Linked DNA regions of Ovis aries. The protein of the gene in region 1 interacts with the protein of each later gene in a biochemical or structural test. Links are inferred from orthologs where the notes say so. Each region holds a gene or a part of one and is shown in the gene's direction. Other genes may lie near its edges. The genes, in order: CREBBP, VDR, IRF5, AKT1, NUP98, NFE2L2 and histone H2B type 1-B.

What was found.
Region 2: the proteins of CREBBP (region 1) and VDR form a complex in vitro, tested with the Homo sapiens proteins (2 studies listed by BioGRID). The link is inferred for Ovis aries from reciprocal best matches to the Homo sapiens genes CREBBP and VDR.
Region 3: the proteins of CREBBP (region 1) and IRF5 form a complex in vitro, tested with the Homo sapiens proteins (2 studies listed by BioGRID and IntAct, with this or other methods). The link is inferred for Ovis aries from reciprocal best matches to the Homo sapiens genes CREBBP and IRF5.
Region 4: of the proteins of CREBBP (region 1) and AKT1, one has a biochemical effect on the other in vitro, tested with the Homo sapiens proteins (2 studies listed by BioGRID, with this or other methods). The link is inferred for Ovis aries from reciprocal best matches to the Homo sapiens genes CREBBP and AKT1.
Region 5: the proteins of CREBBP (region 1) and NUP98 form a complex in vitro, tested with the Homo sapiens proteins (2 studies listed by BioGRID). The link is inferred for Ovis aries from reciprocal best matches to the Homo sapiens genes CREBBP and NUP98.
Region 6: the proteins of CREBBP (region 1) and NFE2L2 form a complex in vitro, tested with the Homo sapiens proteins (2 studies listed by BioGRID, with this or other methods). The link is inferred for Ovis aries from reciprocal best matches to the Homo sapiens genes CREBBP and NFE2L2.
Region 7: of the proteins of CREBBP (region 1) and histone H2B type 1-B, one has a biochemical effect on the other in vitro, tested with the Homo sapiens proteins (2 studies listed by BioGRID). The link is inferred for Ovis aries from reciprocal best matches to the Homo sapiens genes CREBBP and H2BC3.

The regions. Positions count from the first base shown.
Region 1 is NC_056077.1:3,656,306-3,660,131, reverse strand, and holds part of CREBBP (CREB-binding protein), read left to right. Parts: intron 1-1,108; coding exon 1,109-1,351; intron 1,352-2,486; coding exon 2,487-2,589; intron 2,590-2,862; coding exon 2,863-3,009; intron 3,010-3,826. UniProt on the Homo sapiens protein: Acetylates histones, giving a specific tag for transcriptional activation. Mediates acetylation of histone H3 at 'Lys-18' and 'Lys-27' (H3K18ac and H3K27ac, respectively).
Region 2 is NC_056056.1:138,634,842-138,639,181, forward strand, and holds the start of VDR (vitamin D3 receptor), read left to right. Parts: upstream 1-1,242; 5' UTR 1,243-1,760; intron 1,761-4,340.
Region 3 is NC_056057.1:94,590,139-94,594,706, forward strand, and holds the start of IRF5 (interferon regulatory factor 5), read left to right. Parts: upstream 1-1,489; 5' UTR 1,490-1,750; exon of another isoform or gene 1,751-1,924; intron 1,925-2,576; exon of another isoform or gene 2,577-4,105; intron 4,106-4,568. UniProt on the Homo sapiens protein: Transcription factor that plays a critical role in innate immunity by activating expression of type I interferon (IFN) IFNA and INFB and inflammatory cytokines downstream of endolysosomal toll-like receptors TLR7, TLR8 and TLR9.
Region 4 is NC_056071.1:66,963,971-66,967,796, reverse strand, and holds part of AKT1 (RAC-alpha serine/threonine-protein kinase), read left to right. Parts: intron 1-1,381; coding exon 1,382-1,493; intron 1,494-1,570; coding exon 1,571-1,718; intron 1,719-2,031; coding exon 2,032-2,163; intron 2,164-2,409; coding exon 2,410-2,475; intron 2,476-3,457; coding exon 3,458-3,526; intron 3,527-3,668; coding exon 3,669-3,794; intron 3,795-3,826. UniProt on the Homo sapiens protein: AKT1 is one of 3 closely related serine/threonine-protein kinases (AKT1, AKT2 and AKT3) called the AKT kinase, and which regulate many processes including metabolism, proliferation, cell survival, growth and angiogenesis.
Region 5 is NC_056068.1:50,094,514-50,098,339, forward strand, and holds part of NUP98 (nuclear pore complex protein Nup98-Nup96), read left to right. Parts: intron 1-2,396; coding exon 2,397-2,579; intron 2,580-3,297; coding exon 3,298-3,454; intron 3,455-3,826. UniProt on the Homo sapiens protein: Plays a role in the nuclear pore complex (NPC) assembly and/or maintenance. NUP98 and NUP96 are involved in the bidirectional transport across the NPC. May anchor NUP153 and TPR to the NPC.
Region 6 is NC_056055.1:132,851,609-132,856,234, forward strand, and holds the start of NFE2L2 (nuclear factor erythroid 2-related factor 2), read left to right. Parts: upstream 1-1,627; 5' UTR 1,628-1,775; coding exon 1,776-1,820; exon of another isoform or gene 1,821-2,170; intron 2,171-2,305; exon of another isoform or gene 2,306-2,543; intron 2,544-2,960; exon of another isoform or gene 2,961-2,990; intron 2,991-4,626.
Region 7 is NC_056073.1:30,872,030-30,875,918, forward strand, and holds the start of histone H2B type 1-B, read left to right. Parts: upstream 1-1,431; 5' UTR 1,432-1,477; coding exon 1,478-1,858; 3' UTR 1,859-3,889. UniProt on the Homo sapiens protein: Core component of nucleosome. Nucleosomes wrap and compact DNA into chromatin, limiting DNA accessibility to the cellular machineries which require DNA as a template.

The DNA.
Region 1 (3,826 bases):
TTGGTTTCGTTAAGTTACTCGGATAAGTGTTTGAGTTGTTTATATTATAATTGTGCTGATGGTGATGTGAAGATATTATTATTACAGTAATGGTCTGAATTTTAAAGAAAAATTTTGTGATAGTGTTTTATGTCTCAAAGATCTTATGTTATAGTATCAGTTTTATAACCTGCTGTTTATGACATGGCTCTGAAGTTTGGGGAAGTTGGAAAGAAAGGAACTGTTAAAAATAAGAATCAGTGGTATGATGCAGAACTTCTGCCATATGTTGAATCGATTAGGACATTTGGACGATGGACAGACAGACGGACAGATGGGTATTTGGGTCTTCTCTGTTAACTTTGAAGCCCTTGGGAATGGAGCTCTTTATGTTGCTACAGATTTTCCTCAGTCAGCCACGGTATTTCTTGAACAGCTTCACATAGCAGAGAGCTTAGCATCGTGCCCTCCCACGTAGGAAACTCGGAGCAGAGAAAGGCGTGGTGTTGCCTGGTCACTGTACACCATGGGTTCAAGGAAATGCAGTTTTGTTTTTTGGAAGATTGTGTCAGAGATCGTAATTAAGTTACTGTTACTTGATACCTTTAGTAATTAAGATATTAATTAGGTTAATAAGTAACAGAACTGACCAACTAGGCGTCTCCTCCGCTCCTCCTCCTCTTCCTCCTCTGTGCCTGTGCACTGAGCAGTGAGGGACCCCGAGGAGCAGCAGCAGGAGGGGCTTCTTAGCTCGCCTCAGTGGAGGCTGATGACCCCCATGTTTTCCCATGTTTGCTGTTTCCCCAGAACAGACTTCTTATGAGCCTCTACATTTAATACACGCTGACCTTGACTGTGTGATCGCTGATTTTCTGGTCCGTTGTTTTCTAACATAGAAGCTTGAATTCTCTTCAGATTTTTGTTCTTCGGGTGCCGCTGTGCAGATGAAATTAATAGAATGGGCTCCTTCTGTCTGCACAGTTCCTTTCTTGGTAGCGGGGTTCCAGTGCTTCATGATATACATAGGTGGTCTTCTGATAAAATTTTACTTGTTTTTCAGTCGTTTTTAACTCACTTGTAGACTTTTCCCTTTTACTTATCTCTTGTGTTTGTCTGTTTGTTCTTATAGCCATCCTGGGGTCTCCAGCTAGTGGAATTCAAAACACCATTGGTTCTGTTGGCACCGGCCAACAGAATGCCACTTCTTTAAGTAACCCAAATCCGATAGACCCCAGCTCCATGCAACGAGCGTATGCTGCTCTTGGACTCCCCTACCTGAACCAGCCCCAGACGCAGCTGCAGCCTCAGGTTCCTGGCCAGCAACCAGCACAGCCTCAAACTCACCAGCAGATGAGGAGTCTCAACCCCCTGGGTAGGTGAAAGGACTCTCGAGAACTTCCTTGTGCAAATGCAGTGTCGGGAATGACGAGCCTTCTGGAGCCCAGGGCTGTTTTCAGCTACTGTTTTACTTTAAATTCAAATTTTAAATTTAAATATATATATATGTAATAAAATTCAAATATATATATTATGGTGAATGGTGTCTTTTAAATGATTAAAATAAAAAAATTCCAGGAAAAGGCTAAAGAGTCAGGTACACTGAAGATGTTACAGGCTTGTAAGATGAATCACATTTGCAAATGAACCAACATTTTTGTCACTTGTGTCTGGATAGTTTTCATAAAGGGCATTTCACATGGCTCAGAATGCAAAATCTCACAGGTTGGAATTAGGGCAGTACCACTTGCCTTGACTCTGCAGCTCCTAGCATTTCTTGGTTGTGGACTACGTGTGACTAGAGCCGACCAGTCTGAATCCGGCCAAGCTAACAGGGATCTCAGAACAGGGTTGTTGTGGTGGTTTGGTTCTTTTCCTAATAAAGTATTTTCACTTTAAAGATACTTCATCTGTTGCGTGTTGGGAAATAGTTGCCCTAATGCATCTCTGACTCCTGCTGGCTAGAAGACTGGGTTGGAGTCTTGAAATGTCCCTTCCAGTCTGACACCACTTCTGTTGGTGGTATAATCTGGAACAAGACTATTAACCTGCATCCCACCTTTCTCTTACTTTAGAACGAATACTGTAGACAAATTGACCTTTTGTCTTCTTCACGTGAAGTTAATTTCTATGATTTTTATCTTCTGATATGCAAAACAAAAAGATGAAGAAGTGTATGTGATGGGAATGAAGCCAGAATCAAAACCGAAGCTGCAGATGGATCATTTCTGATTTTTTTCCATAGCCGCCAAGCATTCATGCTGCCAGCCAGCCTCCGTAGAAATGCTCTTCTTTGGTTTTCAAGTGCGATGGGAAGCAATTGAATTTATACAATTTGACCACCATTATTGAAAATATAACTCCCAGAGTTCCTGCCATAGCATTTATTATTATGAGTCATAAGAATAATTTTCATAAGAATCATTTCTTTATATGTGACTTATCTGTTATTAGGACTTTGAGGTGTATAATTTAGGAGCTCGTTGATTCCTTTTCTTTTTGTCTTTCAGGAAATAACCCAATGAACATTCCAGCAGGAGGAATAACAACAGATCAGCAGCCACCAAACTTGATTTCAGAATCAGCTCTTCCAACTTCCCTTGGGGCTACAAAGTAAGACCCTTGTTTCATTTGGCTCCTGTCTGAGTGACAGTCACATGTTAAAGTGGGCTGGGAACCACATAGAACTCTTGGTTCTTTCTAAAGTGTAGGGCTGTTTCCCTCCCTCCCTTCTCTCTCCCTCTCCCCTCCCTCCCTCCCTCCCTCTTTCTTTCTTTCTAACAGATAACAGAGTTTAAAGTCACATATGGTTGAAGACCCTTAGTTGGATGAATGTCATGTGAGTCACTTTTCCAGTTGGATGACCTGTTCTTCCTCTCCCCTCAGCCCCCTGATGAATGATGGCTCAAACTCTGGGAACATTGGCACCCTTAGCACTATACCTGCAGCAGCACCTCCTTCCAGCACTGGCGTTCGGAAAAGCTGGCATGAACACGTCACTCAGGACCTGCGGAGCCATCTAGTGCATAAACTGTACGTGGCCCTCTCGCCTGTTACTCACATGTGATGGAAGCACTTTGTGACTGATGGCAGTGTGATAGTTTTGCAGTTTCCTGGGTATCTGATTTAACTCCCAGGTGTTCTTTTGTGTCCCAGGTGATCATACCCTTGCAACTGAAGGGGATCACGTGCTTGTTTAGGGAGGCTGGAGGATCCCAGATTCTGAGTGCCCAGTGGATCCTGGAAAGGAATATGAACTTTGACCCATGTCACAGGGGCAGGCCTATTTTCTAAACTCTCAGTGCATGGGGAGCTGGAACTCACTCAGAAGCTTGTCTTATTTTATGGCTCAAGGCTATAGTTGTGGGGAGCCCTGAGAATTGCAGGAATTTGGGCCTAGTAAATACGGATGGCTTCACAATACCATCATACAATTAACATGGGAAATTAATAGTTGATTTCTCCAGCAATTTAAGTTAAATGAAGGGTGACATTAATCAACTCGATTCCGATGGAGTTTTCTTTTTTTTCTCCTTCATTATTTTAATCAAAATTTTTTGTACTTAGTAGTTTAAAGATTAGGAATTCAAAATCATATTATTCTTGAGTTGGTCAAGCACTTATTGTTAATAGCAAAATATTGTTGTGTTTGATTTGTGGATAAATTGGCAGATCAGCATTGTCTCCAGAGAGTGACTGCGCATGAACTAGGCAAGAGATTGGGGGTCTCTCAGCAATGTACTGTGCCCAGAGGTAGACCGCGGTTTCTTCTCTTCCCGGGTCACGTCTGAAATGGCAGGATGTTGACATTGTACTAAAAGTAGGTTGAGAGTACGCGCTGTCCTTTCAG
Region 2 (4,340 bases), on another chromosome or scaffold:
ATGTGTCCAGCACGGGGGTAGGCGCTACCCACACAGTCTCATCTGGTCCCCTCAACAGCTCTGCCGATGGGGCATCATTACTGCCTTTGATGGATGAGGAGTCTGCAGCTTGGAGAAGTGAATCCATGTCACCCAGCTGGAGTACACGAGCCCCTGGTGCTTGCTCTTATAGCCCACATTCCATTGGTCTAGTGGTCCTTTTCTAAATAAAATGCAGGGACTTCTCTGGTGGTCCAATGACTAAGACTCTATACTCCCAATGCAAGGGGCGTGGGTTCAGTCCCTAGCCAGGGAACTGGATTCCACATGTAGCAACTAAGACTCCGCATACTGCAACTAAAAATCGCACATGGTGCAACTAAGATCAAAGATCCTACATTGCCGCAACTAAGACCTGGCACATCCTAATTAATTAATTACCATAAATAAGACGCGAACGTGGTGGTATCATCTTGTCTCTTAAAACCTTCGGTGGCTCCTCACAGGCTGCAGGAAGAGACCCAAACCCCTTCCACAGCTTGCAAGGCCCTTCCATTCTCCTGCTGCCCTCTTCCCTCTAACCGCACGCTCTGACCACAGCAGGCTATTTGTAGCTCCCTAAACATGCCGGGACTCTATGTGCTCGCTAGTTCTGCCCTCTTTGTGTGGGATAATCTTTCCTCCCTGCCCCACCCAATCCACACCCTTTGTCCTACTCCCGGAGAGATCCCACACAGCCACCCAAGCCCAGCCCAGATGTCACTCTGAGGTCTTCTCCTGCCGCCCCCGTGCACACGCTGCTCGGCGTCAGCGCTGCTGTCTTCACATCCGTCTCTTCTCTAGCGCCTGCGCTTTCTCCATTATAACCCTCTGTTAACCAGGCTGAATGTCCTGTTAGACTGTCAATTCCGTGTGGGGAGAGGTGGCGTCTCTGGCGCCTGGAGGAGAGCCTGGCGGAGAGTAGAAGCTCCGCAGCTGTGTGTAGGATGAGGGAACGACTTAAGTGAGTACAAGGTGAGCACCTCAGGACAAGCACAGTGTCACAGTCACAGGACACGGTATGCATCCCCATCTCACGGCAGGTGCCCAGCCCCCAGTGGACGTGCAGTCAAGGGTGAGTGAATGAAGGTGAGGAGAGGAGAGAGGATGGAGCGAGGAGAGAAAAGGGAAGGTTGGATTCACAAAGCAGTTGCAGGCATAGGCACTACTTTGTTCCTTCCACCAGGGGGCGCAAGAGGCCCAGGAGCCTGGCCCTCGGTTCTTGAGGATCAGCCTTAACACCGGCAGAGGTTTGGGGTTGTTTGCTTCCACAGAAGAAGGAGAAAGCAATGGCACCCTACTCCAGTCCTCTTGCCTGGCAAATCCCATGGACGGAGGAGCCTGGTAGGCTGCAGTCCATGGGGTCGCTAGGAGTCGGACACGACTGAGCGACTTCACTTTCACTTTTCACTTTCCTGCATTGGAGAAGGAAATGGCAACCCTCTCCAGCGTTCTTGCCTGGAGAATCCCAGGGACGCGGGAGCCTGGTGGGCTGCCGTTTATGGGGTCGCGCAGAGTCGGACATGACTGAAGCAATTTGGCAGCAGCAGCAGCAGCAGCAGCAGCTTCCACAGAAGGATTCAGGAGGAGCCAGGATCCGAGGAGGGGAGTCCACCCAAAGCTGAAGTGCCTCAGCAACAGGCCTGGCACTGACCGGGCCTGGCCTGCCTGGTGGGACCAGAAGGAGCCAGCTGCCCATCCTGGGATCTCCGTGCACCCAGGCGAGGCCCACCTTGGGACAGGTAGGTCCTTGCAACTGGAGTCGAGCTGGCCCAGAGCTGAGAAAGGACTCAGAGCCCTCCACTGCATGGGCCTGGGGCAGGTGGTTTTCACAGATTCCCGGACAGGAGGCAGTTCTTTAGAATTCACAGCTTTGTCTTCGCACTTCTCCTGTGCTAGTAAAGGCCAGCCTTGCAGGGACTTGGGGCAGAGACAATGAGGAACAAAACACAGTCATTGCCCTCCGGGTGCTCCCTCCCTCCCTGTGAAGCCCTGCACCTGAGTGTGACCTTGGGCACCGCCTTTAACCCTTTCTGGGCCTCAGCTTCCTGATATATTGTTCAGTCACTAAGTCGTGTCTAACTGCAGCACACCAGGCTTCCCTGTCCTTCACCACCTCTGGAGTTTGCTCAGACTCACGTCCACTGAGTCAGTGATGCCATCCAACCATATGTAGCATTGTTTAAATGATGAAATGAGCTAATCCATGAGACATTTCTAGATTACTGTGCATCAGGCAATAAGCATTCAGTAAACGGCAGCTATTATCAGATATTACGGTGATGGTGATTCAGTACCAACAAGCTCTTAGAAGCTTACATGGAAGGCGCGCGGGAGACTGGCCAATGCCGCCAGCTTTGAATTAGCCTTGAGCATCCACCCAGCTGGTCTTTCCATGGCAAGCCTTAGGGATGGAGAAGAGAGATGAGTACTCTGTGCTCACGAGGCCTTCAGTCCTGAAACACAACACACCAAACAGATCCAGAGAGAAAACTGAGGCTCAGACCCCGTGACTGGAAGAGGCCTCAGAGATAAGTGGAGGCAAGGCAGAGAGAAGGGGTGTCCAGCCCAGGGACCTGCCACCCTATCTCTTGGGGTCCTGAGGCCACATGGCTGCATGGGCACAAGATAGCTTGGTGACTTTGGTCTAAATTAAATGCCACCAAACATTTGTGTTATAGAGAATTTTTAGTAGTTTTGGCCTCTCACCCACCCTTGTGAACAGGTGTGCAAGGGGACCAGTACAAACAGGAAGGGTGAGAGGATTGGATGGGAGGTGTCAGAGGGAGGCGAGAACGCAGCCTGGGATGCTGGAGAGACGGAGGGTGAATCCAGACCGTGGTCACTGTGGCCGGGCCTCGGTTCAGCTATGCATTCTTTCTCTCTGGGCACTGGGCAGGAGTGGGGGTGGCCTCTCGAGTGGTGGGGGTCATATGCTGGGAGTTGGGTCCCCTGCGTCCCGTTTCTGTCTGCTCTTGCCTCAGCTTTCTCTGCTCTATACCTTCTGCCCCTGCCACTGAGAAAGGCCCAAAGTCCCCACTCTCCTTCCAGAAGTGGTGCTTGTGCGACCTCCTGCACGAAGCCCTCCTTGATTCTGACCCTCTGCGGGGGACCATCTCTGAATCTTCATGTTAGCTTGTTTATACTGTCTCATGGGGTTCTTGCCTTGCCTTTGCACGTACAGAGGTGGCAGAGTACAGCACTGAGAGCATGGATTCTTGGCTCCCTGGGCCAAGATTCTGGCTCTAGCCTTTATAGTGCTATGGTGGGTGGAAGTTTCCTAACTTCTGTGTGCCTCGGTTTTCTCCTCTACAAGATGAGGAGAACAGCAGTACCTTCTGCACAGGGCTGATAGGACTTTAACATTTCATGTAAATATTTGGCCGTGTTGGGTCTTGGCACCTGTGCCTGGGTTTTCTCTAGCTGCAGTGAGCAGGCTTCTCCTTGTGGTGGCTTCTCTTGTTGTGGAGCAGGCCCTCAGCGGCTGCGGCCCTCGGGCTCAGCAGCTGTGGCTCGTGGGCCCTAGGGTGTGCAGGGTTCAGTAGTTGCTGCTCGCAGGCTCAGTAGCTGGGGTGCATGGGCTTTGCTGCCTTGTGGCATGTGGACTCTTCCAAGACCAGGAATCGAACCCATGTCCCCAGCATTGGCAGGTGGGTTCTCAGTCACTGGACCACCAGGGAAGCCCTGATAGGGCTGGGAGCCACATTTGTAAAAGTACTTAGGCCTGGACCTCGAACGCAGGAAACGCTCTCTAAGCGTACGCTCTTGTTGTCACTGGAGGGCCTGTGCCTTACCCCCTCCTGAAGCCTGTTGCTCCTCAAGGAGAGGTCCCTTTACTTAAGCTGATTTGTGTCCCTTCAGGGCCCCAGCCCAGGGCCCGGCCACCACGAGTCTTCACTGACCTTGTGTGGAATGGTGATGGGACCCGAGGGCCCTCTTGCCTGGTCTCCTGTCCCTCTGGGGCCCCCAGAGAGCCGGGCTGCCTCCGTGGCTGAGGCCCTGCCTCCCACAACCCCGCCTGAGCTCCGGCAATTTTCCCGGGCAGCTCCCACGTTCTGGACTAACTTTAGGGTTGGTTTCCAGCTGTGGTTGGATTTTTCTGTTTGAAAAATATTTTAAGCAGCTGGTGGGGAAGGGGTGGAGAGGTGGGAAAAGAATAATAAATAAGGTCATGAAAGGAAGATTGTCTACATGGTTTGGAGTGGCCTCTGCCTCCAGCATGGTCTCTGGGCTGTGCCAAGGACTGGGGAGCTTCAGGTGATTGGGGGTGGGGAGGGGACATCCTGGTGGCTTTACAGGCTGACGAGAAAGACTCTCTCTAC
Region 3 (4,568 bases), on another chromosome or scaffold:
GGCCTGTGTTGAGGGGACGGGTCTAGAGTCGGGAGGGGGTCTTGTCCGGCTGCCTGCAGGACCTCTAGGTTCTCTCCCCACCACTCACACTGGGCTTTCGGTTCCCTTTGGTGATGTGGCTCCCCCCACCCCCAACCCTTGCACATACACACACGCACTGTGGCTTCAACCGGAATCAGGCCTCTCACCACACCCTCAATCTGATGCCCCGACCAGGGGAAGTGGGGGCAGGGGCTGTCTCACCGTTGGAAATGAGAGGCGTGGACACACATCTCTACCAAGGCTCCCAGCTGTGGAGGCCACGTCTCCTCGTTCCCCGTGTGCCTTGGCCCCACTGCGGGGGAACTTGGAGTGATCACATGGGGTCCCTGGTTCAGTCTCACTTCTCCTTTGCTTGAGCCTCACCATAAGTCAGCATCCGGAAGCAAGGGGACCCTTGAATTTTGGAAGAGTCTGAGAGATGCTCTCTGTCCCCACCCCGTCCTCCTGATGCCGTGTCTTTGGCCCAGAGTGCTTCTTGGTTCGGGTTCCCCTGAACCTGGGGAAGGCAGGACCCAAGGGATGTGGAGCCCTTGCATAGCCCCTGGCCCTGGAACTTCATGCCAATGCTGCGATCTCAATAGTACCATCATCTCCCCTTTCACCGCAGGAAATGAGATTCACAGGACCTGCCTAAGGTCCCTGAGCTTGAACACAGCGGAAGTGGATGCAAGCTCAAGGGCAGTGCCCCCTCTTCTACACATGGCCTCCAGAGGATTCTTTTTTTAAAACTTATTTGGCTGTGCCAGGTCTTAGTTGCAGCAAGTGGAATCCAGGTCCCTGATCAGGGATTAAACCTGGGCCCCCTGCATTGGGAGCGCAGAGTCTCAGCCACTGTACCACCAGGGAAATCCCCCAAATGGTTTTAGACCAAGTTCAGGGGCTCACAGGGTGGGGGGCCTCACCTGAGGACTGGGGATAGTCGTGGGGGTGGGCAGAATCCTAGTTCTAGTCTCCCTTAGACTGTGTGTGTGGGACATTTAGAAGATTCTTCTTGACAATCATTCCAGATATATTTTCTAGTCCAACATAGAATACTTCCTATTAAGCACGACTCACCTCCAATGAAAAAGGTTTGTATTTTGGGGGGAACTATTTTCAATTTAAATAGCAGTTTCACTTTTAAAGAAAGAAATACAGAACAATCTCCCTATCCTCATTTTCTGCATTCACACTTTAAATCTTAAAAATCTTAAGTAGCGACATATTCAACAGATACAAATAATACAATACTTATATAAGATTATATTTCTATTTTATATTAGGGCTACAAGAGTTGGGGAGAAGGAGAGAAATGCAAGAGAGGAGAAAAAGGACAGCACGTAACGAGCAATGAAACAGATCAGGGGTGAAGATTAACCCAGGTATTTCTACAGAGATGGAGGTGGGAAGGGAAGGTCAAAGTTCTGATTCATCCACTAACTGCTACCCCTGTGTTTGTTAAAAATACAGGCACTAAACTTTAATGGGCAAAGAGTACTTTCTAGAACTTATATATTTTAGTTTCTATCTAAGATGTAATCGATTGACATAAATTTCCTTCATATAAAATTTTTTTATTAAAAATTACTATAGAAAATAGGAGATGAAAAGACAGGCATGGTTCCTGAGTAAGCTGATTCTAGTGGAAATCAGACATTAAACTCCTAAGTGAAAACCAGTGAAGATAAGCCTCAGGGTCTGGGAACCCTACCTAGGAGACAAAGTCAAGGTAAGCTTTTCAAAGGAGTGATGCTGAAACAAAATCTGAAGAGGAGCAGGAGTTCCCACGCGAAGATTGCTCCAGGAGTGGTAACTGGACAATGTGAGGGCTGCAACCAGCGAACGAGGCCTGCCTGCGGAACCAAAAAACGTTCAGACTGGCAGACGGATGGTCAAGGTAGCGGTGAGTGAAGAGGTGGGACGAGAGACCAAGGTGCTGACCCACAGAGGTCCCCAAGGCGATCAGGGACGGGGAGCAGGGGCAGGCAGGTGCGAAGGTTAAGGATCAGAAAGAGAGTAGCCTGACCATCCCTGTCTGTAGGCACCTTGTGGAGGGAGTGTCTGAGTCTGGATGCCAGTGGCTGGGTACTGGGCGACCCTCGGAAGGGTTCGCGGGCTCGTGGGGCGAACGCCAGGGGCTACTACTACCCCCACCGCGCTCGTATGTGGATCGGTTGATCGCCAGTGTCCGTACCAATCTAGAGGTCCCGGAGGGACAGGCTAGAAAGTTCCCGGGCCCAGCCGATCACTATGGCAGAGTGGGGTGGGGGGGCTGAGGTTGTCGAACGACTCTTGCGCCTCCAGATTTCTGACGGAGCCCAGCAGTCCGTCCAGGCCACCGCGCTGCCGCGCATCTCCGCCAGGCCCTGGGCTGCAGGGGAACCAGCCTGGCCCGGGGCTCAGCCCCGTCCCTCGGTCGCTGAGTCTGCGCGGGGACCCCAGGGTGGCTCTGCGGGGAAGGGCGGGGCGCTGCCGGCGCACCAAGGCTGGGCGGCCGCGGCCCAGGGGCGGGGGCGGGTGATGCGGAAGTGGCGAGCGGGCGGGCGGGCGGACCGGCGCGGCTCCAGGACAGCGCAGCTCGGCCCCACCGCCTGGCCGGGGCTCCCGGGCGCAGCCACGCGGGCGCACGGCAGACAGGTAAGTCCAGGCGGCCGCGCGCTCCTCTCCGCGCCCGCGGGGCACCTGCCGGCGGCGGGCTGGGGACTGAAGCGGTGCGGGCGCGCGGGAGGGGTCAGCGTCCGGCTCTTCCAGGTGCCCGAGCTCAGGGTGGGGAACGCCCAAGGCAGGACGCGCCCCGCCGTTGTGGGGGTCCCCAAGATGCCTCCTATGTCTTGATCAGAGAGGGGTGCCCCGCACCATCAGCCTTGGTCCAGAAGGCACCCGAGGAGCCCGGACGCGCGGGCGGCGGAGTCCGCACCGCGGCCGGGGGCGCCAGCTCTCCTGCTTCTCTCCCCTCCTCTGGCCTTCGCGGAGGATGGGCAGCGCCCGGCTGCCATGGGATGGGCAGCGCCCGGCTTGGGCCATGGAGGGAAAGCCCCGATTCCGCCTAGAATTCTGTACGCTCCGATCCCCCTTCCCTGGGCAGCCCTCCCCTCATCCTTTCCAGTAAGAGAATGAGGTTTAAGAGGTCCATCTCTCCCTGGATCTTAAGACAATGGCAAGAATTCGGGCAGAGAGTGGTTGGGAAGATGGTGTCAGGCGAGGCGCCGGCTGTCCTTTTACTTGCAGCGGAGGAAAGCAGCTGCTGACCCTCCTAAGCGAGAACCACGGACGTGATACTTCTTAGACTAGTTTCTCTACAGCCTTCCCCCGAGCATCAGAAGGAAACAATCGAGAATCTAAAAGTGGAGGGAAAGTGAGACCAGTGTGACCGTGTTGCGGGATAGGAGACGGTGAACACCTGCGCGGCCCGGGCGCGCAGTTGTCTCTGTGGCCCCGGAGGCACCGGATCTGGCCCTGGGGACCTGAGGCGGAGGGGACTTCCCTGCCTTCGCCGCCACCCTGCCCCCAGCAGAGCGGGGATGAGGGCGGGGGCTCCTCCACCCTGAGGAGCGGTCGGAGAGGCAGACCCTAAACCAGCGCTCCGGGCCGGGGAGGGAGTGGGGGTAGTTCAGTGGGCTGGGCCAGGAGGCGCGGCCAAGCCGGGCACCTGCGGGGACGGTCTTGAGAGCAGAGCCGAGTTGGGGCTCCCTGCGCGCCCAGAGCGGGGATGAGTGACCAGGACCAGTAAGGACGAGGCGGGGGGGAGTCGATGGAGAAAGCTAGAGTCTCCCGGGAGAGGCAGCCAGGCCAGAGCAGGGTTATAGGGTTGGATACTGGGGCTCCCAGCAAGTCAAGGGAAGCCTTGGGAAACCACCCTTTTTTTAACCCTGGGGTTTCCCCACCTGCGCCTTGGCCTTACCCCACCGTGCCCCCAGAGGAAGCCGAGGGAAGCGTCTTTCTGCCCTCATCTGCCGCCCTGGAGTCTCAGCTCGTCTCCCCTGGAGGGGGAGGGGCTTAAGGTCTCGCTGGACGCCGGGCACCCATGCCTTCTTCAGGAGTTTGGTGTGGAGTTTTCGGGAAACGTCTGAATCAAATTCAGGAGGTGCAAGGGCTTGCTGATCTCGCAGTGCTGGGGGCTGCAGAGCCTTCTCCCCTAGGAGGTCCCTGGTGCCCACAGTGTTCAGGCTTCCCTTGTGGCTGGCTCCTGGGAGTTCAGGAGTTGCCGGGCCTGTGCACCTCCGGAGATGCTCCTGGGCTGCCCCTTCCCCTATAATAGGGCCTTCCTCAGGTCCTCAGCAGGCCACTCCTCCTTTGATGTTTCCATGGAAGCTGATGTATGCTCATCCCGCCTTCCCCCATCTTTCAGGGCTCTAATCCACAAGGCTAGTCTGGGGGTTGCAAACCTGCACAGCTGTTGAGGAGTCAGGGCAGACCCCCTGACCAACCTGCATCCTGATGGGATGTCAAGTCCTCCCAGCAGCCACGAGGGGCGTCTGTGTGTGTGTGTGTGTGTGTGTGTAGTTCCTCAGTTGTGTCCGACTCTTTGCAACCCCATGGACTATAGC
Region 4 (3,826 bases), on another chromosome or scaffold:
CCTCCTCCCAGGCTCCTCGGGTGTCAGCAGAGCAGCAGGTAGAACAGCGGCGGGGGGAGGCCCAGGAGGCAGGTCCCCTCCGGCAGCCCCGTGGCCGTGAGTCTGGGCTCCCCACGGGGCCCCCGGGGCTGGGCTGGGGGCTTTGGGCCTGGGAAGGATGCTCAGCTGGGCAGCTGCCACCTCGTGGGGAAGGAGGTTCCTCGGGAGTGTTGCCCAAACTCAGCGCAGGGGAGTGTGGGGGCCGTCAGGACACACATGGGAGGTGAGGACCACCCAGAGGGGCTTCCAGCAGCAGGTGGGGCAGGGGCTTGAGGCAGGCCTTAGGCCACAGGAGGAGGAGCAGAGCGGACAGGGAGGGCTGGGCGGCTCCGCGGGGGCCTCTGCGGCAGGGGCTGTTCACTGAGGAGGAATTGCCGGGGTGGGGGGCGAGAAGTCAGGCCCTGGATGGGCCTGGGTCCTGGGGACTCCTGGTGGTCTCCGGTGGGCAGAGTATGGAGGAGGGTATGCGGACCCCGAAGGCTGCCGCACAGATTTTCCTCCCTCTCCTGCCCCGGGTAGACGTGGGCCCCCAGCACCACTCCCCACCCCCACCACCCCGGAGACCCCCGCCCTGGTCCCCAGCCTGGCAGACCATTCCTTGCTTCCTTGCACTCGGCTGAGCCTGGCGGGGCCCCCGCGGTTGCCAGGGCCTAGACGCTGGAATGTCGGAGGCCCCTGCACTGGCCCCAGGCCCCTCCTGCCTCCACCGGCCGAGCTGGAACCCAGCCCCGCTCCGGGCCCTGGGCCCTCCCACAGCTCCTTCTCTGCAGGTGTGCGCGTTTGGGGCACGTGTGCTCCAGGCGTGCGTGCGCTCCCAGGCCTGCCAGCCGGTCTCCGCTCCTGCGTGCACCGGGGTTGTGGGCAGCAGCGTGGAGAGGGTCAGCCCAGGCGGCCTCTGGGGTGGACGGGTGGCCTCTCCAGAGGATGAGTCATTGCCAGCCTCCATCCCGGGCCTGGCCCTGCGCTGAGATGGGGCCGGGAGCCCGCTGGTCCTCGTGTGGCTGGGGGGTGGGACGCTCCTGCTCGGGAAGCTGGGGAGCAGCTCTCCCAGAGGCCTCCTCCCCGCCAGCCCCTCCTCAGGCCCCCCAGGTCCCCCATCCTCCTCCTGGCTGAGGACCATGTCCTGGGTGGCTGGGGAGCTCAGAGACCAGAGGACAGGCCTTGGAGATGGATCCGTCCAGTCGCAAACACCCCCTCAGGGGCACTGCCTAGCTCTCAGCAGGGCTCCAGCTGGAAGGGAGCTCTGGCCCCCTTTTACAGGGCGGGAGACTGAGGCTTGGAGAGGTCTGGCCTGCGGTGGGTGGGCCGGGATGCTGTGCAGACAGGTGCTGCCTGCCCTTAGAATGCCAGCTGATGAAGACGGAGCGGCCGCGGCCCAACACCTTCATCATCCGCTGCCTGCAGTGGACCACGGTCATCGAGCGCACGTTCCACGTGGAGACGCCCGAGGAGCGGTAGGGAGCGCAGGCGCCGCGGCCGGGGAGGCCCCGGGCCCCGGGCAGAGCTGGGGTCTCACCTGAGCATCCCGCAGGGAGGAGTGGACCACCGCCATCCAGACGGTGGCCGATGGGCTCAAGAGGCAGGAGGAGGAGACGATGGACTTCCGGTCGGGCTCACCCGGCGAGAACTCGGGGGCCGAGGAGATGGAGGTGTCGCTGGCCAGGCCCAAGCACCGCGTGGTGAGCCCCAGCCCTGCCCCACACCGCCCTCCCAGCCCCTGCACGGAAGCGGGGGCGACGCGCCGGGCGCAGGGAGGCCTGGGAACGGCTCTCCCACCCCCCGGACCCCAGCGTTCCCAGTTGGGGCGCACAGCCCTGCAGTCTCCCTTGAGCCCCGGACCCCCAAGGACCATCCTCCCCCCCGCCCGCTGCCCCAGCCTCACCGTCCTCGGCCCGAGGCTGCCCGCGGAGACCCCGGCCCCGCTCAGCGCTGCTGGGCCGCCGGCGGTCAGCGTGCAGCCCCCTGATCCTGGCGCCTGCACGCTGCCCTCAGACCATGAATGAGTTTGAGTACCTGAAGCTGCTGGGCAAAGGCACCTTCGGGAAGGTGATCCTGGTGAAGGAGAAGGCCACAGGCCGCTACTACGCCATGAAGATCCTCAAGAAGGAGGTCATCGTGGCCAAAGTAGGGGCGGGGGGGGCGGGGGGGCCGGGGCTGGGGGGGCGGGGGCGGGGCTGGGGGAGGGCGGGGGGCGGGGGGGGGCGGGGGGGCCGGGGGCGGGGGGGGGGGGGGGGGGGGGGGGGGCGGGGGGGGGGGGGCGGGGGGGGGGGCGGGGGGGGGGGCGGGGGCCGGGGGGGGGGGGGGGGGGGGGGGGGGGGGGGGCCGGGGGGCCGGGGCCGGGCAGGCGGCTCAGCAGTGCCCGTCTTGCAGGACGAGGTCGCCCACACGCTCACAGAGAACCGCGTTCTCCAGAACTCCCGGCACCCGTTCCTGACGGTGAGCGCGCCCCCCCCCCCCCCCCCCGTGCCCCTGGGGACCCCAGCCCGTCCTCCCTGCCAACCCAGCAGGCTCGGAGCTTGGACGATGGTGGGCGGGCCTGCGGGAGCGGCGTGGGGGTGCACAGAGCGGGCAGGGGCTCCCGGCTTCCCTCTGTCCTGCTGAGACCCCGGGAGGCTGCACTCCCCGCGCCCACCCTGCTGCTCCCGGCAGGCGCTCCCTGTCCTGGGGGAACTCGGCCCAGGAGGGATGTAAGGAAAACCCGAGCAGCAAGGCGTTGGCTGGACTTAGCCGCCAGGCCTGGCTGGCCGTGCTCCCAGGTCAGCAGTCAGGCGACCGGGTCAGCCTCCAGAGTCTTGTCCCCGGGACCACTGTGCTCAGCACGGTGTCTGCTCTCCAGCGGACGCCTGGTCTAACGCGCGGGGAGAGCCGAGCAGCAGGCAGGCTCCTAGGATGTTTTCTCAGGAGAAGTGTGAGGCGTTAAGAGCAGACACTGTTTGTCCGCCCAGCCCAGAGTTATCATGACCGTGGCTTTGCCGCCTCCGCTTCATTTTGCCCCTTCCCCTCTGTCTGGCCAGAGGACTGTGAGGAGAAGGCCAGGCTTTGTCATGCCCTCCACTGGGTACCGGCCACCTCAAGTCCTGTAGGGATCCGGACTTGCTCTGCCTGGGGACGCTTGCCTCCCTCCGGCTCTCCCTGGGGATGGGGGATGGAGCAGGACGTGGGGGAGGGTCTCACGTCGGTATCTTCATGAGCTGGGGGCCATCCCATCAGTAGCAGTCTTTCTTTTGAAGTGAGGCTGCCTGTGGTTTGACGCGTGAGGGCAGTGGGTTGCATCCTGCAGGGGAGTCTCCACGTGGTCAGTGGACCTGCAGCTGCTGGTCCTCGGGCATGGCCTTTGGGGCAGCTGGGGGTCTCCTGCTCCACGGGGCAGACCCCCTGCCCAGCCAAGGGCCAGGTTCGAGCTCTGCTTCCCTCACAGGCCCTGAAGTACTCCTTCCAGACGCACGACCGCCTGTGCTTCGTCATGGAGTACGCCAACGGGGGCGAGGTAGGGCCCTGCCCCTGCGCTGCCCTCTCTGAGCCCCGGGTGCTGGGGGGTGGCCGCCCTCCCCACTCCCCGCCGGGTTAGGGTCTCTGCCCCGCGGCCCTGGCCGAGGCGGCTGGCCCGGCTCAGGCTTCTCGTCCCGCAGCTCTTCTTCCACCTGTCCCGGGAGCGGGTGTTTCCCGAGGACCGGGCCCGCTTCTACGGCGCCGAGATCGTGTCGGCCCTGGATTACCTGCACTCGGAGAAGAACGTGGTGTACAGGGACCTCAAGGTGGGCGGGGCCGGGGAAAGGCGTGGGGGAGG
Region 5 (3,826 bases), on another chromosome or scaffold:
ACTTGATCTCCAAAGATTTCTCAGAAAACAACGTCTTTTGGGGTCGTTTATTGCAATTACTTAGATATACTTAAAATTCACACATGAGGGTTTTAGGAGTTTACCAGGTCCTCATAGTTTAATAGTAATTCACTTCCCCATCCACTTATTAGATGATACTAATTTTGAAGTCAGTACATGAGGAGGAAGCAAATAAAACCTTGATTGCATAGCATTCTTAAAGATAGTCTTGAGTCCCTCAGTCTCCAGACTTTGATTAAATCCTACCAGTTTGCTTCTAAAAGTGTTCTAAATGAGCACCTCTTTTTGTTAGTCCTTTGTTGAATAGTACAGTAAATTGAAACTCTCCTCCTCCTCCCTTTCCTCTCATCTATACTTGCTCCTTATCCTTTCATAGTTACTAGCCTTTTCTCCTGTGTGGCAGGCACTGCATTAAATAACTAAATGTTGTGAATTTAACAATGTGGTTAGTATTAGATACAGAAAATAGTAGACTATGTCTGCGGAGAAGGCAATGGCACCCCACTCCAGTACTCTTGCTTGGAACATCCCATGGACGGAGGAGCCTAGAAGGCTGCAGTCCATGGAGTCGCTGAGGGTCAGACACGACTGAGTGACTTCACTTTCACTTTTATGCATTGGAGAAGGAAATGGCAACCCAGTCAGTGTTCTTGCCTGGAGAATCCCAGGGACGGGGGAGCCTGGTGGGCTGCCATCTATGGAGTCACACAGAGTCACACACAACTGAAGTGACTTAGCAGCAGCAGGCTATATCTGCTTTCAAGCATTTACAATCTGGTGGGACAAAAATAATATATACCTGAAATTATAATATACATTGTATAAGATAGGTATAGACAAGGTATTATGGGAGCCCAACAGAAAAGAGTATCCTGATGTTTTGACAGAGGATGGGGAGTGTTATAACTTTTCTTAAAAGTGAATTGGTTAAAAATGAACATACTGGGGGGGCATTGGAATGTTCTTCTAATTCCTCTAATTATAATGGTAGGATCACCACCAGGGCTTTTAAATTTTTTTTTTTTTTGGAATTTTAAAGCATCAAAGTAGCTTGCCTGTAGCCTCCCCAATAGGTTTAAATATATATATATATATATATAAAACTTTTGTCTTTTAACCATTTAGCCTTCAGTTTTGTTAGAGCAGTCTTTAGGGAATGTTCACAACATAAGTAACAATTCACTACATATCCAACACCTCAACATTTCTACAGCTATAGATGGCAGTAGTCATTCTCTTAGTAAGGATATTTGTTAAAGGAATTCACGGGAGTAAGAGGTAATATACTATTGAAAATAAAGTTTAAAAAGTTACACTAATGGTCATTTCTTGGTTCAAAGAAATCATGAAACTTTTTTTAACCACCTATTGTATAATTGGATCCATTTGAAGTCTACTGTGAAACAGGCCATTCATGAAAGACAAACCAGAAATTGTGGAAGGTTAGTAATCTACAGATGATATATTATGAAAGAAAAAAAGGTAGAACAACTTTTAGCTTTGAGAATGTGTCATAAATTAGCATAGCCATTTGTTAACATTTTATCAGATCATGTGGGAGTTTAGGACATATTTAATGTGAATTTGCACTGAGCCAATTTTACAGTATGTTTCAGCTCTCTGAATGTTTACCTTTTCAAACTGTTAATAGACTATTAATCATTACTGTATCTTTAAAACTCCCTAATAATTGTAAATCTAACTCTTGATACATTTAAACATATTTAAACCTGAAAGAATTATTCCCAGATTAAAATTGCTCCTAGTAGTACTTTGTTTTTTTTTCTTCTGGGAAACACGTTCTACATCTGATACAATATCCATGTGATACTGCATAGGTGGAGCTAACCTTAGGATTCAGTCTCCCAAAAAATAAATTCCAGGCCCCAAATTGTGTTTGTGATAACTAGAAATTTATTTCTAAATGCTTTTAAGAAAATGCAAAGGTACTAGAAACTTTGGTATTTGTGTCTTTTATTCTCTCTCCCCATGGCTTCTGGCTGCAAGGCACTGTGAGGTCATGGTAACTCTGTATAAATCAGAAAATTATGGTTGCTAACTAAATCAAGTAAGGCATAATCATAGTCTGAAGTTGACTGTTTTTTCAGTATGGGTGCTGGCTTAGGTCCAGGCTCCAGACCATAATATTATAAAAGGGTAATTCCATGAATCTTCATTTGGATCCCAAGTAATAATAGAGGAATTTTGGGGAAATTGTTCTTCAATACTCTAGCAAATATATTACTTCACATGATGATAGAATGGGCAGAATCTAATGTTATATCATATTTTGAATAAAGTAAATATGGTCTAGAAGCTCTATGTCTATCTGGTGTCATTTAATGCTGCTTCCCTGATCTTTCTGCTGTCTACAGAGCCAGAGCCCAGAGGTGGAGCAGTTAGGGAGGGTTGTGGAACTGGACAGTGACATGGTAGATATCACCCAGGAGCCAGTTTTGGATTCCATGTTAGAAGAGAGCGTGCCTGAGGATCAGGAACCCGTGTCCGCCTCAACACACATTGCATCTTCACTGGGAATTAATCCACATGTGTTACAGGTGAAGTCCTAACCCACCCTTATTATAAGAATCCAAACTAGTATTCATCTTCCTCTCTTAATACCAGGCCTTTTCTTTCATTAGTCCTTTAAGGGCATTGAACAGTCACTGGAATGAGAAAAAAACAGGAATATGGCCCATGTCAGGCATCATTTTGCCATTGGTGGAAGGAAGGCTATATTGAGATTCAGAAGACCTAGAGTCTAGGCCCAGTTTTGTAACTATTACAGTGTGACTTTGGGCAAGTCGTTTAACATCTGTGAGCACTGATTTTTCTCTATAAAATACTAACTTCATTTACAAAGAGGTTTTGAGGCTCTGGAAAGTGCTCCACAGAAGTGTTTTGTTTTGTTTTGTTTTTTAATTATAGTTACAGGTTTCTTTAAACTGTCTCAATTTCTCCTTGCTTATGCCTTTTGTCATTATATGAATTTAGCCTTTGGCTTATATTTGACTTTAAAATTAATTCATTCAGCAAATATGTAAGCTGCTGCTGTGTGCCAGCCTCTGGTGATACTATATACAAAGCACAGAAGTTTTATGTAACTTCTGTCCTTCAGGCACATACAGTATAACAGAGTTAGACACACAAATGTTGTACTAGCTCTGGACATGACCTGAGGCAGAGCTTTTTAATTGGTTGTTGTAAGCTGTGTTTTTCTTTTATGGCCTTTGGATTTGGGGGAGCACATTCATTCTATAGATATTGCTTTTTTAGATCATGAAAGCATCATTGCTTGCTGATGAAGAAGATGTAGATACAGTCTTGGATCAGCGCATCACTCACCTTCCTTCTAAAGCAGATACTTCTCAAGAAATATGTTCTCCCAGGCTCCCCATCTCAGCAACTCACTCATCAAAACCTCGTTCATTAGGTACTGTAAAAGATGCTCTTTTACAAGAAAGCTGTAAAGTCTGGCTTTTCACATTTCTTCTAAGCTGAGTCAACTTCTGTAGCAGACAACTCCAAACTATGATCAGTGGTGCAGACACAAAGTTGTATGGGAAAAAAAAAGCATTTGTGTTTTGTTTAGGGGTTTGTTTTTATTTGCTTATGAGTGTGGCTTAGATAGTAAGCTCAGTTCTCCTAATTTTTATCAGACCTTAGAAGAATCAACAAGTTGTTCTGTACTGTACTCTTTGTGCAATTCTAACACTATCCTTATTGTTTTCTAGGGGCAAATGTTGCTTCCTATCATGTATAAAACTTTTCAGATTTCTGCTTTCCCCTGAAATTTGCCAAATTT
Region 6 (4,626 bases), on another chromosome or scaffold:
TATACTCTGGTGCCATTCTTTGACACAGAAATGTCATTTCATAATGTCTCTGCATATTCCATGTCAGGTTCACTGTAAATCACTTCTCCTGAGCTTGTTGTTAGTGTGCAGATCATTTTGCAGCCTTCTCACTTAACAGCTGAAAGTTTAATTCAAATTGAAGAAACTTACTTCAATTACAGGCAATTAATTTAGGCTTCACTTACCTTAAGAAATATTCCAACATATAAATCAACAGGTAAGTCCTGGGAGGGTCAAATTACGCAACCAAGAGAAAGTAAGTTCTTTGCAGCTTTGGGGGCGTTGGTCTGCTGTAGTCAGGCTTTTATGGTTTTCTTTTTCTTTTTTTGGCGTCAGGTTTTTGAATGAAATAGTAAAACCAGTGCCAGACACTGTCTACTCCACCTGGTTTTGCATAATTCGAAGAAGTGATAAACTGAAAATCAGGCTTGTTAAAGAGCTAGAAAGAGTGCTGTTGCATAAGAGAAAACAAAACTAAACCATTTCTCTATTCTTTTTTAAATCATAAGATTTCACAATATTCCTGTTTTCAAGTACTTGAAGTTTGCTCTGGGCACTGACTACTTTTTAAATAATTGTTTTTAAGGTGCAGTGAATAATACACATTTATCGTAGATTTAAAACATACTTAAAGTAACAAAGAGATAAAAATCATTCAAGGTCCTGCAACTATTAATATTACTAGTAATATTTTGAAGAACTTTTTTTTTTCTAGGTACATGCTTTCACAGAACGGGTCCATACTACACAGTTTTATAACTTGTTTTTTGCGTTTTTGTTTTTAAAATCGTATCTTGAGTACGTGAAAACTTCTAGAGGTTATGACACGTTTGTAATATCGAACAGGGTTAAAAATCGCCATCTATGGTGTGGCGTGTGCACTCTGGTGGGAAGAGAATGCTCCGGATGGGCAAGCTCGACCACTCTCCGATCCAAAGAGACTTCTCCATTCGCCCTCGGGGACTGAAGCCTGGCCAGAGTGCAAGGCGTGGGAGTAAGTGGAGGGCGATCAGGGTGACCGAGCACGAGCTCCCCGCGCGGTCCACTCTTCCCCCGGGCCAGTCTCACTGGCTGAGCCGGAGCGAGAGGGCAGCTCGCCGTGAGCTGGGCCCAGGTCCCGGCTTCCGGCCCCCACCCCCCGGGCTGGCGCCACTCTCGGGCGGTGGGGAGAGAGAAAGCCGGGCAAGGTTCTGCAAATCCAAAGCAGGGAGGCGCAGCTCCGATACCATCGCCTTTGCCGAGTCTCCAAGCATGTTTGTTTCAACTGTTTAAACTGTTTCAAAGCACCCGAACCCCAGCGACCTTCGGCAAACAACTCAATCCCACGGGCGGGGAGCGATGGCCGTATTCGCTAGAAGGGCAAACTGACAGCGGAGGCAGGCGAGCTTCGGGGGCCTTCCTCCGGCACTCTGCCTGCCCGCAGCCGCCCCTGAGACCCCCGCCCGCAACTCTTTCCCGCCCCAGGACGGCCAGCTTCTTGCGTCAGCCCGGCGAGGGTGGGGGATTTTCGGAAGGTCGGCCCGGGCGGCTGGCTGGGGAAGGAAGGGCCTTGGGCTCTCGCCCCGCCCTCGCGGGGCGGGAGGCGGAGCGGGACAAGAGCCCGATCGGCGACTCCGGCCAAGTCAGGGAGAAGCGAGTTCCTAGGATCCCCCAGGAGCCGCCGCCGCCACCAGTACCGCCGTGTCCGCTCCAAGCCTCGGCAGCCGGAACAGGGCCGCCGTCGGGGAGCCTCAAAGCACCGTCCCCAGCTCAGCATGATGGACTTGGAGCTGCCCCCGCCGGGACTGCCGTCCCAGCAGGTGGTGCCAGGACGGGAGCAGGGGCGCGAGGGAGCCGCGGCCCGGGAGGGACAGCCGCATCGGCCTCTTTCCCCGTCTGTGGCCGGAGCGGACTGCAGCTGCCGCGCACACACCAGAGCCGCCGCGCTTGAGCTGGGGCCGGGGGAGGGGAGTGGCGACCCCAAGGGCTGCGAGGGGTATGGGGGCGCGGGGAATGGTGTGACTGACAACGCGCCCGCAGCCCCCGAGGGCGGTAGGGTTGGGGTTGGGGGGCTACGCCAGCGCGCGTGGGGGCGAAGTGCGTCTCTAACCGCGTCCCCGGTCGCCGGAGCCGAGATGCTGGAGCCGCGGCCGGCCCCCTCTCCGAGTTTGAGCGGCCGGGAGGCAACCGGGTAGGAGAGGGCGGACACTGGCGGTCTGAGCCGGCGCGGCCCGGCCCTTCCGGGGCTGCGCGGCTCCCCCGCCTCGGAGCCGGCAAAAATGTGCCTAGTCACGGGGCCACTCTCGGGGGAACTGAGGTCTCCGGGCTGGGACCCGGAACCCCTCCTCTGCCGCTGCTCCTCTGCTCAAGACCTCCGCGGGCGCGAGCCGCGGCGCTCTTACCCTGCTGAGGGTTCTCTTAGGCAGAGTGATCAATCACTCCAGCCTTGCGATCGCCCTGAGGCCGCTTGGCGAAAATGCCCAGCTCCCAGGGTGGGGGCAGGAGGAGGTCACCAAGCGCCCAGCGCACTCGGTTTCCCCGACGTACGGCGATCGAACCCTGCCCTGCGCGCCGCCTCGCCCCGAGGGAAGGGTTCGGGCTCTTAGAACTCTGAGTCGGCCCCTAGCAATACGCCGGCAAGGGCGGGTGGGGCGGTGGACTCTGAAGTCCGACGGGCCTTCGCCCCCCACCCCACCCCAGCTCCCCGGGGCTTCTCGATCCCGGCGCTGTGCTTCCCGGTGGCGCACGCCGCGAGCGTCGTCCCGGCGCCGTGACAGTGGCCGGTTGGCTGTCACGGCGGCCCTCAGTGGGCCCTTTCCTGCTTTGTAGCGTGCAAACCTTGCCGCGCCGGGGCCAAGGGACAAGTTGGAGCTGTTGATCTGTTGCGCAATTGTTATTTTCCCTAGGGCGGCTTTGTCTTTGGATTTAGCGTTTCGGAATTGCAATTCCAAAATGTGTAAGGCAGGATATTCTGTTCTCTGCTGTCAAGGGTAAGAATTTCGAGTGTAGATTAGCATTTCTGTTGTTTTTAGGCTGTTACTAAATGTTGCGCTTTCATACATTGTTTCTCTTTTGGGTGCTTTATGTAGTTTTCCTTTTCTGTTTGAGAATTTGCCTCAATTGCTTTCCTAGTATGTTGCTTTTGAGAGGGCAGAGGGTGGGACAGCTGTGTCTCATAAAACTTCGCTAACAAGTTCTGTAAATGTCGCAAATGTGGGAACAAGTTTCTGTGTATATTTTGTAGGGACTTTTTAAAGGAGTAGATAGTTTTATTTCCAATTTGTGCGTGTGAATGCGTTTTTTGGAAAAATATTTAGTTCAAGGAAATGTGTAACCTAATAGGAACGGTAAATATATTTAAGCTCTTAAACATCAAGCTTTAGACTAATCCTGAAGTAAGGTTTTGATATATTGACAATGTAGTGATTGTGCCTTTTTTTTCCCTTGGAAGCTGTTGTCTTGAACTTTCCCCCAGTAGTGATTAAGACTGTGTTCCTTCCTCCCCACGATATGAAGAAATAAATTGTGCTTTCCGATTCAGCTGCTGTTCAGTCCCTATAGCCATTTCTTTAATAATCTATATGACCAAAGGATATATGATGCTAATGGACTCTAGTTTTCCCAGATTCAGGAATGTAGCCTAGAGGGGTATATTACTGAAGTTTTTATTTCTTTCTTAACTATATAATTTACCATTCCATATACAAAAGTGGGTAAACATCTTTACTGCTTTTTCTTTTAAATGTGAACTTTCCAATTATGTTTGTTAAGGTAACTCCCTTTCCACCCTTTGTAATCAGACCTCAGTTTGCATATGCGAAGAGTATAAAAGAAAATGGAATAAAATTTAGAGTTAATGTCATGCCTGTAACTAAGATTCATATTAAATCTTTGTAGTCCAGGAAGATTTGGACAGAGTCATAAGTGGATTCTAACCTCTTGTCAAAGAAACACCAGGCAGGAGGTGGTACGGGGGTAAAAGTTCTTCCCCCTTTGTGCAAAGGAGGTGTTGATGAAGAGCAGTAGAGTTTTACATTCTGAATTTCCATTAGCTTCTGGAAGGAATCATCTACCCTTTTCAAAGCTGTCTTGGAGAAAGTATTTTTGCATATGAGGAATGAAGTTGATCTTGGACTAGGTAGGTAACTTCCAAAGAAAAATAAGGCCTCCCTCTCATCTCCAGAAGGTTGAGCAAAGAACAACTTGACTTTTTAGATATTTGGAAAAAAACCTCTTGAGAGATTGTGAAAGATTGTAGTAGGATAAAAACGTAACTCACATCAGTCTGCATTAAAAGTAGCATGGGCCATTTTGGACTCTTTCTTGTCAACTTGGGTTTTTATAAACAGTGCTGGGAGGGGAAACCCCAAAATCTGACTTTCTTTAGGATAATCAGGAAGAATTGAAAGCTAAATACACGAATTTTACTTACAGAGCTACATGAGAAAAAGAAACCTCTGTGGGCTAGAAGCACTTTTTTTTTCCCCGGGGAATTTCCTCTCTACTGGCGGAACACATTTAAAGGGGGGTTTGCGTAAATATTTCTTCTTTGATTTTTCCTTCATCTGGGGTTCACTCGTCAGTGCATATTCTTGGATTCAGGAGTTTGGCACTCAGATAATCGTA
Region 7 (3,889 bases), on another chromosome or scaffold:
TTCCTAAATTGTTTCATCTTATTGCCAACTTCAATGTACATAACGAGCCATTTACCCACCATGTTAACTTTTGATTCAGTATACGGGTGGGACCTGATATTCTTAATTCTTGACACGTTCTCAAGATTGTCAGTATTTCTGCTCCAATCCTAAATTGAATACAATTGATCTTTCTCCCCCACAGTTGGGTCAGCTTTAAGTAAATCTCGAACTACCAGGACTACCACTTTCTAACTTTGGTCATCAGATCTCCCCTAATTCTGAGTTTATCTTCTGTAAAACTACATGCCAGGGTCCCTGGGTGGATGATTTTAAAAAATCACATGCATGCAAAGGTGGAATTGATGACATATATACACTGGATCCTGATAAACTTCCATGGGGGGGCGGGGGGATTGTTTTAAAATTTTGAAAGCAAAGGCAAGAGAAAAATAATCTTGGCAAGAGTAATTGCTTTTTGTTATCCTCAAGACTAAGTACCGCTCTAGTCTCCCCTTCTCTTTATAAAGGCCCTTGTGGATTACAAAGGTTTCGCCAGCTATGCAGTAAAATAATGCTTGTGAGAACATTTCCAGAGTCTTTGTTTTAATGTCATTTGTCTTTTTACAATTAACCACCTACGCAGCATAACCTGGCTACCAGCTTTTTTTTTTTTTTTTTAATAAAAATGTGGATGGCTGTGAAAAGTCTTTGAATAGTTTATTAAAAAGTTTCTTCTTTTGTCTAGGCTTTACTTCCCCTTCGCCTTGTGGTGACTCTCCGTCTTCTTGGGCAGCGGCACCGCCTGGATGTTGGGCAGGACGCCGCCCTGAGCGATGGTGACTTTGCCCAGCAGCTTGTTCAGCTCCTCGTCGTTGCGGTTAGCCAACTGCAGGTGACGCGGGATGATGCGGGTCTTCTTTTTGTCCCGGGCCGCGTTGCCGCCAGCTCCAGAATATCAGGCGTCAGGTACTCCAGCACCGCCGCCAAGTACACCGGAGCGCCGGCTCCAACCCGCTCGGTATAGCTGCCCTTGCGGAGCAGGCGGTGCACTCGCCCCACTAGAAATTGTAAACCAGCCCGGGAAGACCGAGTTTTGGCTTTAGCTCGAGTTTTGCCTCCTTGTTTACCACGTCCAGACATAGTTACTTTGTAAAACTCAACAGCAAAACTTGTGAGCAGGAAAAAAAAAACCCTGGACGACCAAGGGGGGATAAAAATATTTTTTTAATAGACAGTAGAGGGATGCGCCACTTAGGTCTCCTATTGGTCAGAAGGACGAAGGTTTTTCTATCCAATAGAAAGAGAATATGTGTATCCCTTATTTGCATAAACCCCTCCCTCCAGACCTTAGTGAACCTGTACTGATCTTACCCAATCAAAAGTGAGAATTTTTCATTCCTCATTTACATTGAAGCGCTATAAATATCTGGTTTTTGAACTCATACTGGTAATCTTAGTCGCGGAGGCTATCATCTAACGTTTCTAGGGCAAAACAATGCCTGAGCCGTCTAAATCTGCTCCCGCTCCTAAAAAAGGCTCTAAGAAAGCCATCACTAAAGCACAGAAAAAAGATGGCAAAAAACGCAAGCGCAGTCGTAAAGAGAGCTACTCTATTTATGTGTACAAGGTTCTGAAGCAGGTCCATCCAGATACTGGTATCTCATCTAAGGCCATGGGTATCATGAACTCCTTTGTGAACGACATTTTCGAGCGCATCGCGGGCGAGGCGTCACGCCTGGCGCATTACAACAAGCGCTCGACCATCACATCCAGGGAGATCCAGACGGCCGTGCGCCTGCTGCTGCCCGGGGAGCTGGCCAAGCATGCTGTGTCTGAGGGTACCAAGGCCGTCACTAAATACACCAGCTCCAAATGAGTGCCTGCATAGGCAGTTAATCCAAAGGCTCTTTTCAGAGCCACCCACTTTGTCGAAGAAAGACTGTAACTGCCGTTTTCTCGCGCGGTAAATGCAATTCTGTCCTATTGATTTAAGCATCTACATCTACTCTAGTGGGGTTAATAGTTGAAGCAATTTTGGAGCCAGAACCTCTAGCTACTTGAAAAGTCTCTTGGCATTTAAGAGACGTTCCCCGAAAGACACATCTTCCCGTTTCCCATGGACTAAGCATCCAGATGCTTGGAAATGCTCACTCTTCACGAGGCCTCTTAAAATTTTTGATGGTGATTAGAATTTTCCTTCCGGGTAAGGAAGTGGTTGGGGGGATTTCAGGGTCCCGATCCTCAAGGCATCTTTATGCAGGTTGTCTTTTCAGGGCAGGTTGCAGGGAAGGCAAATCAGTGGGGTTTTCTCCCTGTTATTGGGGAAACTAAGCAAAATCACCTGTTGTTCCTTTAGCAAACCGCGGACACTTTTATAAGGTATTAAACTCTGCACATGGTTGAAATGAGATTTTCTAATTTCTCATTATAATTGTATAGTGATGGAAACAGCCAATGTAAAGCCGTTTCCATTTTTCTTGCATTCCTGATATCTGGGTTCCAGTTTCCTGGGTCATTTACCTTCCTGGGATGGCACTAGAAGAGGTTGAAAGTGTGGCACTCCCAATTCTAGGAGGGGAAATGGTTTGAATTTTCTGACCTCCCCATCTGGTGTCACCTCATTTGCAGACTAGGAGGGCCCCAGGTGGAGAGGAAGGTGTGCTAATTTTTCTTGGGAAAATTTTTTAAGAGAACATACTACTCCCAAAATAATCCTGATAGGAAGGGCCTTGGTTGTGGAAAAGGAGTCAGTGGGGCTGGATGAGGGGAAGAGCCACGAAAAGTCAGCGGTTGACTGCATATTAAAAAGGTAGGGGAAAGTCTTTTCTTTGGTTTATAAGCACCATATTTAGGTGACATACATCAGTGTGTTTGGATAAGGAAATAAAAACTCGAAGTAGAATTTCTCAAAAAGACCACTTTTAAATTTTGGAGTTAAATGAACTTTTCCCAGATCCCACACAAATTAGGTGACTGCTATATGAGAAGACTTCCCTGTCTCAGCATACATAAAACATACCTGTGAAACAGAAGCTTGTCTTAGAAGTTAAAAATCTTGGTTTTTAGATTGTAACCCCCTCCACTCATCTCTGGGGGGAAAAGAAAGAAAAATTGAACTCAAGCTGCAGTTTCAGAATTGCTCTCTGGAGGGATGAGATCTTAGTGGTAATATAATCTCAGTCTCTTCAAAATTATCTCCTGGGGTAGAACTTATTATTTGCCTGCTTGCTTGCTTCTATCTTCCTTCTCCTTGCCCCTTCCTTTCTTCCTAATAGTTGATATTTTACAGAACTATATACAGTCAGCAAAAAGACCAGGAGCTGACTGTGGCTCAGATTATGAACTCCTTATTGCCAAATTCAGACTTAAATTTAAGAAAGTAGGGAAAACCACTAGACCATTCAGGTATGACCTAAATCAAATCTTTAATGATTATTTCAGTGGAAGTGAGAAATAGATTTAAGGGACTAGATCTGATAGAGTGCCTGATGAACTATGGATGCAGGTTCATGACACTGTAGGAGCAAGACCATCCCAAAGAAAAAGAAATGCAAAAAAGCAAAATGGCTGTCTGAGGAGGGCTTATAAATAGCTGTGAAAAGAAGAGAAGTGAAAAGCAAAGGAGAAAAGGAAAGATATACCCATTTGAATACAGAGTTCCAAAGAATAGCAAGGAGAGATAAGAAAGACTTCTTCAGGGATCAGTGCAAAGAAATAGAGGAATATAATAAAATGGGAAAGACTAGAGAGCTCTTCAAGATCATTAGAGATATTAAGGAAACATTTCATGCAAAGATGGGCTCAATAAAGGACAGAAATGGTATGGACCTAACAGAAGCAGAAGATATTAAGAAGAGGTGGCAAGAATACACAGAAGAACTGTACAAAAAAGATCTTCACGACCCAG